Canis lupus familiaris: one gene and its partners. The main gene of each other region encodes a partner of the protein of the gene in region 3 in a complex. Links are inferred from orthologs where the notes say so. Each region holds a gene or a part of one and is shown on either strand. Other genes may lie near its edges.

Region 1 (3,497 bases), on a different chromosome or scaffold from region 3:
CTCCCCCTCCCCCTTACCACTGTCAATTAATAAGTCCTACCGACTTCCCCTTTTAAATACATCTTTATCAATCCATAAGTCCTGCCAATTGTATTTCCTAAATGTATCTAGCCCTCATTTACTTCTTTCCATCTCTACTGCTACTACATTAGCTTAGGACTGTATCTTCTCTCCTCTGAATTGTAGGAGGCCCTTGCCAAAGGTGTCCTTACTTCCTGCCCATCCGCAAAATCGTTTTTTCAGAGTAAAATGCAAATCCCATCAGGTCATTTACTTAAGACCCTTCAAAGGTTACTGATGCAATTCTGGCTTTTTGCTATGACTCACAAACCTGATTCTTCCCTTGCCATTTGTTCCTGAGTACCAAATTGTTTATCTTCTCTTGTTCCCCCTCCCGGCTCTGCACACACTTTCACTTTTCCTCAAGGTAGTCTATGCCCTTAACATGTCCCTCGACTCCCTTTACCTGGTTCATTTCCAGTTCTCTTTAAAAACTCAGAAGTCATATCCTCCTGTGAACCTTTTGACTCCCTGAAGGTAGCTCATTTTTGTGTAGCAGAAAAATTCTGGGTTTTTAAAAACAGACCTATTTGATACTTGGTTCTGACGTAGACTAGGACAGAGCCTTGGACAGGTACATCTCCCCGAGTCTTTTCCCTCCTCTGTTAAGGGGGCATATCAATACCTGCGTCGCACAGTAATCAGGGAATAATTAAGTGGAATAAAGTTGATGAGTGCCTGACACAAAGAAGTAGGCGGCAGATGTTAGTCCCCTTCCTCCTTTGCACTGCATACTGTGTCTACCTCTAGTATTGTAACTCCAATGTAGGACTGAAAATGCCAGCTAACCTGTTTGCCTCCCCGACTGTCAGCGCCGAGAGGACGAGAGTCTCGTCCTGCTTAACTTTGTACTCCCAGGCCCTCGCTCAGGATGGGCAAATAGGAATTAAATAAATGTGTGTTGCGTTGAACACCCCCCCCCCACACACTCGCTGTGATGCTGCGTATGTTGTTTATTCAGGCTGAAATACCTCCTTCCCCAACTATGGCAACACTGCACATTCCTACTGTCCTCCATTCCCAGGGCAGTCGCGGGGGGCGGGGGGGGGGGGAGACTTACAACCCTTAAAAGGCTGAGTAAGGGAACTGGAAAGGATACAGACTGGCAGGCAACCCGTGGCCGAGGGGGGGGGGTCCCTAAGCAAGGTCTTTAAGTGCCAGGTTGCAGGAGGGGCAGGAGGGGCCCCGGACCCGCAGAAGAGCGTCCTAGACGTCGACGGTTCCCAGCCCCGCGGCAGGGCCTAGGACTTCGCCCGGGGGGTGGGGGGGGTGGGGGGGGGTGGGGGCGGGGGGAGGGCGGGGGGCGTGGGGGGAGGGCGGGGGGAGGCAGCCCGGCGGCGGCGGCGGCATCTCACTGGCTAGCCGACATCCAGGAGGCGGGAGACCCGACACAGACGACAAACATGGCGTGGGCGGGGCGAAGCGCGGGGCGTGTGACGTCACCCGGCGTGTGCGTAACGTGAGCGGAAGCGGAAGCGGCTCTGTTCGCCGCCTCTCCCACCGGCCCGATGAGCTGCAGCGGCTCCGGCGCGGACCCCGAGGCGGCGCCGGGTTCCGCCGCCTCGGCCCCGGGCCCGGCGCCCACGGTCTCGGCCCCCGCAGCGCTGCCCGCCGGCACCGCTGCGGAGAACAAGGCCAGCCCCGCGGGGACAGCGGGGGGACCCGGGGCTGGAGCTGCGGCAGGGGGCACGGGACCCGTGGCGGCGCGGGCCGGGGAGCCGGCCGAGCGGCGCGGGGCGGGTGAGGGCCGGGCCGGGTGAGGGCGAGGGCAGCGCCGGGGGCTGGGCCCGGCGGCGGGTGAGGGCGGGGGGTTTGAGGCCGACCTAAGCGGGGCTGCGCATCTTCCACCTCCATGTCTATTTGCTGCTTCTCCTCCAGCTCCCGTGTCGGCGGGCGGCGCGGCGCCCCCGGAGGGGGCCATGTCTAACGGGGTTTACGTGCTGCCGAGCGCCGCCAACGGAGACGTGAAGCCGGTGGTGTCCAGCACGCCTCTGGTGGACTTCCTGATGCAGCTGGAGGACTATACGCCTACGGTGGGCTTCCTGCCTGAACAGGCTATTGGGGCGCTGTCAGGCCAAGCTTCCGCTACACCACCTGGATTTCCAGCTTTCTTTCGTACTTGCTCCCCTACTAGCTCTTTGATTTATCCCCTCTGCCCACCCAAACCGTGGGCTTCCTGAAAGCCGGGCCTGTCCTCCATTTCCCTCATCCTCTCAGCCCAGCAGTGCACAGGGCACACACTGACAGTCCTCTCGTTGATCTCTCAGATCCCAGATGCAGTGACTGGTTACTACCTGAACCGTGCTGGCTTTGAGGCCTCGGACCCACGCATGTGAGTACAGCTTGGGTAGGTTACAGCCTTGGGTGCTTGTGTGGAGTTTCTGGTCTCCTCTCCTTCTCACCCCAGTTTTTTCTCTCTAGAATTCGGCTCATCTCCCTAGCTGCCCAGAAATTCATCTCAGATATTGCCAACGATGCCCTACAGCACTGCAAAATGAAGGGCACAGCTTCTGGCAGCTCCCGAAGCAAGAGCAAGGTGTGAGGGGAGGCTCATTGAATCAGTAATTATCTCCCACAGCATCGGAGGCTTAATTTGTCCTGAAACCCCTTTGGGGAAACTAAGCCCTAGGGGAGGTGAAAGACCTACTCAGGGTCACCCACCTGGGATTGAAATCCGGAATTCCCCTGCTCAGCTGGTGCTCTTCCCTCTTCCCTCAGGACCGCAAGTACACTCTAACCATGGAGGACTTGACCCCTGCCCTCAGCGAATATGGCATCAATGTGAAGAAGCCGCACTACTTCACCTGAGCCACCCAACCTAAATGTACTTGTCTGTCCCCCTGTCCCCACACCAGCCTGTTTTCATAATAAACTTTATTGTGACAGGCAGGGCTGGTCCCTCCCATGCTGGGAGATACCGTGTGGCAAGTGACAAAGCTCTGAGCCTAGCCCCTTTGGGGGCTGCAGTGGTAGGGATGGGGGCAGGGGATGGGCCCCATGGCTGGGGTAGTACCATGACTGGAGGCAGGGGAGGCAACCAGAGGCCTGCTGCTTTGGGGAGACACACTCCCCTAACCGTGTCCTGACACCTCTGGAGTTTAGGCAAGGGCTTTCCAGCTCTACTTGTCCTGCATCTTCTCCAGGATAGGCACAATCATGTCAAACTTGGGCCGCTTAGCAGGGTCTTCATTCATGCAGATCTTCATGAGCTTACACACATGGGGGGAAATGCCTGGTGGGATAGTAGGCCGAAGGCCTTCCAGTGCCACCTGCAGATACAGGAAAAAAACAAAATGGGTCTCAGAACTTCTAATATCCTGTGAGGAGAGGCCTCTAGTCCTCAGGAAAGGATTACTGTATATTTGAACAAATATGGGAAGAGCCCAGCCCTGCTATAGTTGTTGTCACCACCACTACCATTCCTTCAACATAAGTGC
Region 2 (4,232 bases), on a different chromosome or scaffold from region 3:
CGAGCCGAGCCGAGGGGCGTGCGCTCCTCCTCCGGGCGCCCCAACACAAACAGTCTCCACCCCCGCAGGCGCCGCGTGTTTACAAAGTCCGCGCCGCGCCGCGGATCCCGAGTTTAAAGCTGGGCAGGAAGTGGGGAAGAGGGGGCGGGGGAGACAAAGGGGCTGGGTGCTCGGCGCCGCTAGTGTGGGCCCCGACTCCTCCCCCGGCCGCCCGCGGTTGGCCCCGCAGACCCCGGCCCACGTGCCCGGGCGAGGGGGCGGGGCACGCCCCGGGCTCAGGTGCGCCTGCGGGGCCCGGGCCGCGCGGGTTCCCAGAGTCTGGCCCGCGGGGCGCTCGCCAGGCGATCGCGCGTCGCGCAGGAAATAAACAACTTCAGGTGCTGGGTCTTGACCTCCGGCTCTGCTTCTGGCACGTGCCCGAGATCCTCTGCGGGTATTAGCTTATTTTCTTCTCTAGCAATCCCACCCCTGTTCCACACACACACAAAGGAAACTGAGGCACAGTGCGGTTAGGTAACGTGCCCGAAGCCTCACAGCCTGCGATGTTAGGATTCAAACCCGGCGTGCGCGCCCTCCCAGGCACCCGCAAACGGAACTGAAGGAGGGGCAGTGGGGGTCCCCGGTCCCGGCAAGGAGAACCCCCGTCCAGGGCGGCTGATGAGCGAGTGAGACGCAGAAAACCACAGGCACCGCGGGGTCGCAACGCCTCGGGACTGAGGCGGGCCCCGGACAGCTTCTTGCCGCCCGCGCACATCGCTGCGGATCGAGGGCGAGAAGGCAGCGGGATGCAGCGGAAGACCTGGGCTAGCGGGTCTAGGCTCGAGGGGCAGGTGGACGTTGGCGGGCTGCGGGGCCGGTGCGCGCAGAGTAAGGTTTCCCAAAATTACTCGCTCAGGATAATCACCTGCAGAGCTTCACAACACAGAGTCCCAGGCCCCGTCCCCAGAGAGGGAGTCCCTGGGACCGAGCGGGACGCAGCCAAAGGTGTTGCTAACAACAGGCAAGTTTGGAGCGCCCCAGGGATGTGCTCTGCGGGAGAAACGATCTCCTCTAGAAACAGGTGCGAAACCCGAGGGCGCATCTTCCTAGCCGATTCCGAGGCACACCGGGGCCCCAAGAACCTACCACTCACTGTAGGTCACGTGAGCCGGGATCCTCAAACACCGCCGCCCCCCCCCCGCCCCCCGCAACCCGCCTGGGCTTAGGAGAGCTCCGAGGGGTGCGCGCCGCCCCGCCCCCTCCCCGCCCCTCCCCGCTCGGCGACTACAAGTCCCATCCTGCCCTGCGCTCGCGCACAGTACGCCAGAGCAAGATGGCCGACACGGCGGCCACTGCCGGGGCCGGTGGCTCCGGAACGGTAAGGGCGGGAGGCGCGGGGCGGAAGCCGAGAGAGCCTGGGCATTCTGCAACTTCCCCCTAGTGTGGGCAACAAGCTCGCAGCCAGGAATCCAGCCCCACCATGAGCTCCGGGTGGAGGAGCGTCTTTCAGGCCGTAAATGCCCCCCTCCTCGGGACTTGGCTGCGGCCTCCTGAGTTGGCGGACCGGTGTACTGATTGGCTCCTCCGCTGTTGGGGGTTGGGAACCCGGAACACCTCCTGATTGGCTCGGGGAGACCGGCTTCGCCTTCTTATTGGCCAGCCTGAGTTAGGAGGGATTCCCGTTTCAGAATAATTTAGCTTTCCTACTTTTCTGAGCGGTTGCCCTTTGCCTTCCTATGCCCAGCATCGTGTGGTGCTGTTTTAATTTTTCTTTGTAGTGACAGAGTGTGGAGATGCGAGGAACAAGAGAAAGGCCTTTTTTTTTTTAATTTTTTCTGGGAAATGGATGTGAATTCAATCCTATCATGCATGTTTTTTCAGCTATATATTTTGATAATCTGCTAAAAAAGTAAGAAAACTTATTAGAATCTTAAGTTTTAGGTAGCTCCTTAGGATTTAGAACCCCTTGGGTACTCGATGATTACTCAGTTGGCCAGGATTTATAAATCTTAACACCAGGGGCTACCGTATTTTATTAAGCACTGATAAATACATATTTAGCGAAAGAACTTTTGCTTGCCATTGACGATATGTGAACTGTTGGATTGCATTCTTGTCCTGTGGGTGAATTAATTTTTTTTAATGGGGTGCTGATTCGCAGAGATCAGGAAGTAAACAATCCACTAACCCTGCTGATAACTACCATCTGGCCCGGAGGCGAACCCTTCAAGTGGTCGTGAGCTCCTTGTTGACAGAGGCAGGGTTCGAGAGTGCTGAAAAAGCATCCGTGGAAACATTGACAGAGATGCTGCAGAGCTGTAAGTACCAGGAAACAATAGCTCCTTTTCGAGTCAACCAAACATCTGTGCTGTGTCTTGCACTCTGATAGTGTTAAAGATAGGAAAAAGAACAGCATAGTAAAGTGACTTTCAGGCTTTAGAATCAGATGGACGTGGGTGTAAGTCATCGCTCTGCCACTTAATAGCTTGAACAAGTTGCTAAACCTCCTGAACCTCAATTTCCTTATTTGTGAAGTAGGACAATAATTTGTATCTCCTGGAGTTGTGAGGATAAGTGAGGTGCATGTGTAAGACACTTGATATTAGGAACCTGGTAACCTCTTGATGGTTTATAAGTGCTGTTGTTGCTGCTTGTTCTCTATATTCCAGGAAGTTATAGTTTTGTTGCAGAGTCATGATCAAGTCCCATGAATAGATGCTATATATTGGATAATCAAATGCTATAGTATGTGATACAAAGAGGGAGAGTAAATAAGTTTTATAGAACGGAAAAAAAAATGCTTAAGAGGAAACACATTGAGTTGGAGAAGCCTAGAATGGTCTCACACAGGCTTTTCTGCATATACAGTGTATTTCCCTGCTTGGGTTTTATTAGTGGTGGTGGCAGTGGCAGCATGGCAGGGTGGTGGAAAGTAGAATGGGATGAGAGATGGGCTTACTTAACTTGTCTTTTGAGGGATCAACACAAATCAAAGTGAGAGAAAGCTTTAGGCAGGGGGGAGATTAACTGCAATGCAGGCCAAATAAAGAATTGACTGACTCAGTGGGGACCTCTGGAGCACCTGTACTTCAGAGTACACCACATCAGGCTGAAAGGGCCTTGCATTTGTACTCAGTTCTTGATCGGACACTCGATGTGGGCTGCCCCAGGAAGGACGTGGTCTGAGGTGAGGTGGCTCTCTGCAGCTGGTGTTTGGAACTTTTATTTTTTTATTTTTTATTATTATTATTTTTTGTTTGGAACTTTTAAATACCAAATGTTTTCCTAAAGCAATGATCTCAAATGTTTTGATCTTAGAACCTATTTAGACTCTTTTTTTTTTTTTTTTTAGACTCTTAAATATTGAGGATCCTGAGGAGTTTTGTCTACATGGGCTTTATATAGAGCGATTTTTGCCACATTAGAAAATAAAATTGAAAAAAAAAAAAAAAGAAAGAAAGAAAAGAAAATTGAGGACAGCCCGTGTGGCTCAGCAGTTTAGTGCCGCCTTCAGCCCAGGGCCTGATCCTGGGGACCTAGGATCGAGTCCCACATTGGGCTCCCTGCATGGAGCTTGCTTCTCCCTCTGCCTATGTCTCTGCCTCTCTCTCTGTGTGTGTGTCTCTCATGAATAAATAAATAAAATCTTTAAAAAAAAGAAAAAGAAAATTGAAAAAAATTAAATATAAACATATATGAGTCCACATTCTATTATCCCTCAGAGCCATGATATCATCATAGCCCATGTAACCTCTGGAAAACTACATGAGACAATGAGTTAAAAAGTCAAAGAATGTCTTCACTTAATTATAAACATAGTTTTGGTCTGTGGACTCTGGAAAGGATCTCAGGGCTGCCTGAGGACTCCCAGGCCCCACTTTGAGAACTTTTGTCCTCAAAGAACGGACTAATAGTTCCCAACAGAATTCAGTTTTTGAAAAATTCTTGGAATTCAGAGTTTAAAGATCCTCATGATTAAGGCAATTATTTCTGATACCACTGGACAAAAGGCCTTTTTTCTCTCAGAAGAAATAGTTGCCACCAAGCGGGATGGAGCTGAGATAGTTGTGTTGGAAAGCTGTGAATATTGAAACTAAAAGGCTTGAAAATGGCATAAAAGTCTGCCACTCCAAGGCACCTAAGTGGTTCAGAGGTTGAGCATCAACTTTTGGCTCAGGTCGTGATCCCAGGATCCTGGGATCAAGTCCCACATCGTGCTACCCACAGGGAGCCTGCTTCTCCCTCTGCCTGTG
Region 3 (3,648 bases):
AAATTCCTTCATTTCCTGTTAGTAAGAACAATGTCCTTCAATTTCCTCAACCTGGAAGTAAAGATGCAGAGGAAAGAAAAGAATACATTCCTGATTACATGCCACCCATTGTGTCTTCACAAGAAGGTTTGTGACTTCTTTGTTTGTTTTTACTCATACGTCTGTAAGTATTTTAATGCGTTCTTAATCTTAATTTTCCTAACTGAATTGTATAAAACGCTGTGCCAACGTATAAATTCTAGAAATGCAATCAAGATATTCTAATATTATTTTCAAATCAGTCTAACCTTTAAGCCAGCAAACTTACACTGGCGTCACCAGTCAGAGCCATGGCACAGTCAGGGTTGTCTGATGGGGCATCTATTTCCTTTCTAAAGTTTAAGTAGGGGAGAACAGAATGTGATCCCAGAGAGAAGACTTCCCATAGATGTATCATGTGGGAACGGGACATTAAATAAATTAGAAAATCTTTGCAACATAAAGGAAAATCGGGGTCACTCTCTGCCTCTCCTCTGTGTTGTAAATGTGAGTTGGATGATACCAGGAACAGTGAGTGAGTAATATTTACTAGTGTTTTGCAGATTTATCTCCATTTTTTAAATGATGAGTAGAAATGTTTATTGTTTGGCCATGGCAGCATTTTTGATTAAAAAATAATAGCAAATCAGGCTCAGTAGTCAAACATTACAGAGTTCCTTCTCCCTGCATGATTTTACGTGTTGATCCTTTAGGTTCACTAAGGTTCTAAGAGATACATAGTAATTTGTGGTCTCTCATGCAGGTACACAGTATATTTTCTTGTAAAAATGGAAAAGTTCCAATTCATTTCCTTGTACCTTTATATTTGCACCTTTCTACCTTCCACCAGCAATGCCCCACGTTTCCAGTTTCTTGTAATTCATTTCTTGTAATCTCCTGTTCCACTTCAATAGCATCTTGGGATGCTACCCATTTCTTTCATTGACTCGCTTTAGATTTGGAATAGTAGTTTTACAATCTGCGTATCAGTGTTGCCTCATTTGAAAAACCGGGTAAAAACTGGCCCTACGTCGTGGAGACTTACTATGGGTTAGTGTATCCTCAGACACTCTGTGTCTTGGGTGCAGTGGGCCCTCCCACAGAGGGCTGGTGCTGTCATTAACATGCTGAGAATGCAGCACTGTACCTGTGCTTGTTGGTAGCTGTGTAGGTATGGAGGTTCAGATAGGTAGGTACCAGAGTTTTCTGAGTTGAGTGGCTTGGGAAGCTTGTCAGGTTAGCACTTCTCTGCTGAGAACTTAATAATGACAAACTTCTCTGCTTGGGGACTTAATAATGACAAAACTGACAAGAACTGGTATCACCAGTGCTTCACACAAAATGTGCCTTGGGTAAACGTTCTGGAACTGAGTGAAATGCTGTTTGTAGGGGCTTGTTAATGGAAGTTCATTGTTTCTCCTCCTTTCCGGGCCCACTTTTATATTATTAACAGCAGGACTTAGAAATCTACAGATGTATCTCAGTTATCCCAACTTCCTGTAGCAACTACTTAAAATTCGTCTCTTCCTCACCATTGAGATTGTGTATCTGTAGCCTGTGGTACCTTTGAGGAAATCTTCCTCCTTATAGCCCCTGTGTGAGGTCTGTCTCTGTAAACCCCTCATTCCCTAATGTCAGTGTCTTTGACCTTAGAAATGTATATTTCTCACAACTTCTCTAAACATATATTTGTTTGCTTTAAAAACATAACCAATGCATTTCAGTATCAGAATTCTCAAAGGAGGGTTTCTTGGGCAGAAGCCTGCTTAGTAGCTGGATTGCAAAGAATTCATCTTTTCTTATAGACAGGTCATGAATATCAAGCAGGCCTGGAATTTCCTTCTTTGCTGTTGTCACTCAATATGATTTATTAAGCATCCTAGATGTCCTCATGAAAGCAGTACTAAGTGTGCTCTAAGAGTAATCTTTGAGTGGCTCTGAAATTTTTAGTTGAAAGGCCACTTAAAAGTACAAGGAGTACAGAATTTGAAATTGTGCTAAGAAAACATGAAGGGGGTTCCCGGGTGGCTCAGTTGGTTAAGTGTCTGCATTCGGCTGAGGTCGTGATCCCAGGGTACTGGGATCGAGCCCCACATTGGGCACCCTGCTCCACCCCCACTTATGCTTGTGCATGCATTCTCTCTCTCCCTCTCTCTCTCTCTCTCTCTCTCTCTGAAATAAATAAATAAATAAATAAATAAATAAATAAATAAATAAATAAATAAAATCTTTAAAATTTTGGGAGAGAACTTAAGATGTTATATAGGACGACACTAAAGGAGCCACACTAATGTAAGTAACTGGCGTGTCAGCGATTCTCTGGATAATAAGTGATGGTGAGTTTTATATTAGTGAATTAGGTAACGGTTACTAGCCAGGACTTCTGTGCATTATCGGTTGGTGTGTTTTTGAACCAGAACTACTATCTTCTCCATTTAAAACATTTTAGTCCATGTACTCTGTGCTTTTTGAGCTTTCTAATTCTATTTTGTGGTTTACCTGTTTTTTTGTCTCCTTTTCTACCTTCTGCTTAATGAATTGCTTAATTTTTTTTCTGGCCTTTTAAAAAATTTGGACTCTGACATTTGATTAATCTTAACCCGTAATTCATATATAGCTCATCATTGGTCCATCTATAACCTGCATTTATTCACTTAGAGAGTTTATTGAATCATTTGTAATAACATAGTAAGCCCTACCAAACTCACTATTGAAAATTAAGCTCAGGACTTTGATAATAATCAACACTTAACCACTTAGTCCCTCTCATTTTATTTTTATAGCATGAAAATGATACACAAGGAAATTCATGGTTAGCATTTGTAAATACCGCCATGGAAATGTAACTAAGATATCAGTAAAGGGGTATAAAAAACAGTTTAGGGATTTTAATACTGACTTCAGTTTGAAATTAACTACAATAAATTTTTGAGTCTCCTGAATCATTTGAGGCAAAAAGAATCATGGTTTTTTTTTTTTTTGAAGTTTCAGACAATATAAATTATAAACCTCTTAAAAGGAAAATAACATAAACCTGAACACTTCTTTTTTTCAGCTAACAGTTATAGATTCTCTCAGGAGCAGAAATTCTGCTGATTCATGAGGTACGCATATGGTTCCGAAGGGTGCAATAAGTGATAGGCAGTACAATAAGATGTTTATCAAACCTCTTCCTCCTGTTCAGGGAAAAGGATATAAAATAAATACAGTCCCATGGTTACCATTTTTTAATATAGCCTCCCAAGTCAATTTAATAAATCATTTACAATCTGAAATCTTTTTTCCCCCCTGGTCCCATGTTAGAAAATTCCTAGTATTCTGGTTAGTGTTGCAGAGGGTGATATACCTGTGATAGTAATACTTGTTCACAGATTTCTTTTCCTTTTATTTCCTTAAGAGCCACAGACAGGGCCAGGCTTTGGTCATAAAATATCATTAACAAAGTATGATCATGAGACTACCCACTTATTGATCCTTCAGCTTGGTTCGTGTCAGAAGAGCACCAGAATGACTTGTCTGCTTGTAGCACTGGGAACACTGCTGAGGGTGGAGAAACAGGCAGTCGTAGAGAAGACATGGGCCCCATGGCTCCATTCAGTTGGGTCTCGACGGGTTACTGAGTTTAACGTC

Evidence for each region.
Region 1: TAF3 (region 3) and TAF10 share a complex: the UniProt entries of both Homo sapiens proteins name them as parts of the TFIID basal transcription factor complex. The link is inferred for Canis lupus familiaris from reciprocal best matches to the Homo sapiens genes TAF3 and TAF10.
Region 2: TAF3 (region 3) and TAF8 share a complex: the UniProt entries of both Homo sapiens proteins name them as parts of the TFIID basal transcription factor complex. The link is inferred for Canis lupus familiaris from reciprocal best matches to the Homo sapiens genes TAF3 and TAF8.

Annotation. Positions count from the first base shown.
Region 1 is NC_049242.1:30,425,314-30,428,810, reverse strand, and holds TAF10 (transcription initiation factor TFIID subunit 10), read left to right. Parts: upstream 1-1,545; 5' UTR 1,546-1,568; coding exon 1,569-1,800; intron 1,801-1,938; coding exon 1,939-2,093; intron 2,094-2,327; coding exon 2,328-2,392; intron 2,393-2,481; coding exon 2,482-2,596; intron 2,597-2,778; coding exon 2,779-2,868; 3' UTR 2,869-2,973; downstream 2,974-3,497. Other genes in the region: ILK (integrin-linked protein kinase), read right to left, coding at 3,180-3,329. UniProt on the Homo sapiens protein: The TFIID basal transcription factor complex plays a major role in the initiation of RNA polymerase II (Pol II)-dependent transcription.
Region 2 is NC_049233.1:10,876,741-10,880,972, forward strand, and holds the start of TAF8 (transcription initiation factor TFIID subunit 8), read left to right. Parts: upstream 1-1,295; 5' UTR 1,296-1,312; coding exon 1,313-1,357; intron 1,358-1,664; exon of another isoform or gene 1,665-1,888; intron 1,889-2,140; coding exon 2,141-2,297; intron 2,298-4,232. UniProt on the Homo sapiens protein: The TFIID basal transcription factor complex plays a major role in the initiation of RNA polymerase II (Pol II)-dependent transcription.
Region 3 is NC_049223.1:27,335,762-27,339,409, reverse strand, and holds part of TAF3 (transcription initiation factor TFIID subunit 3), read left to right. Parts: coding exon 1-126; intron 127-3,648. UniProt on the Homo sapiens protein: The TFIID basal transcription factor complex plays a major role in the initiation of RNA polymerase II (Pol II)-dependent transcription.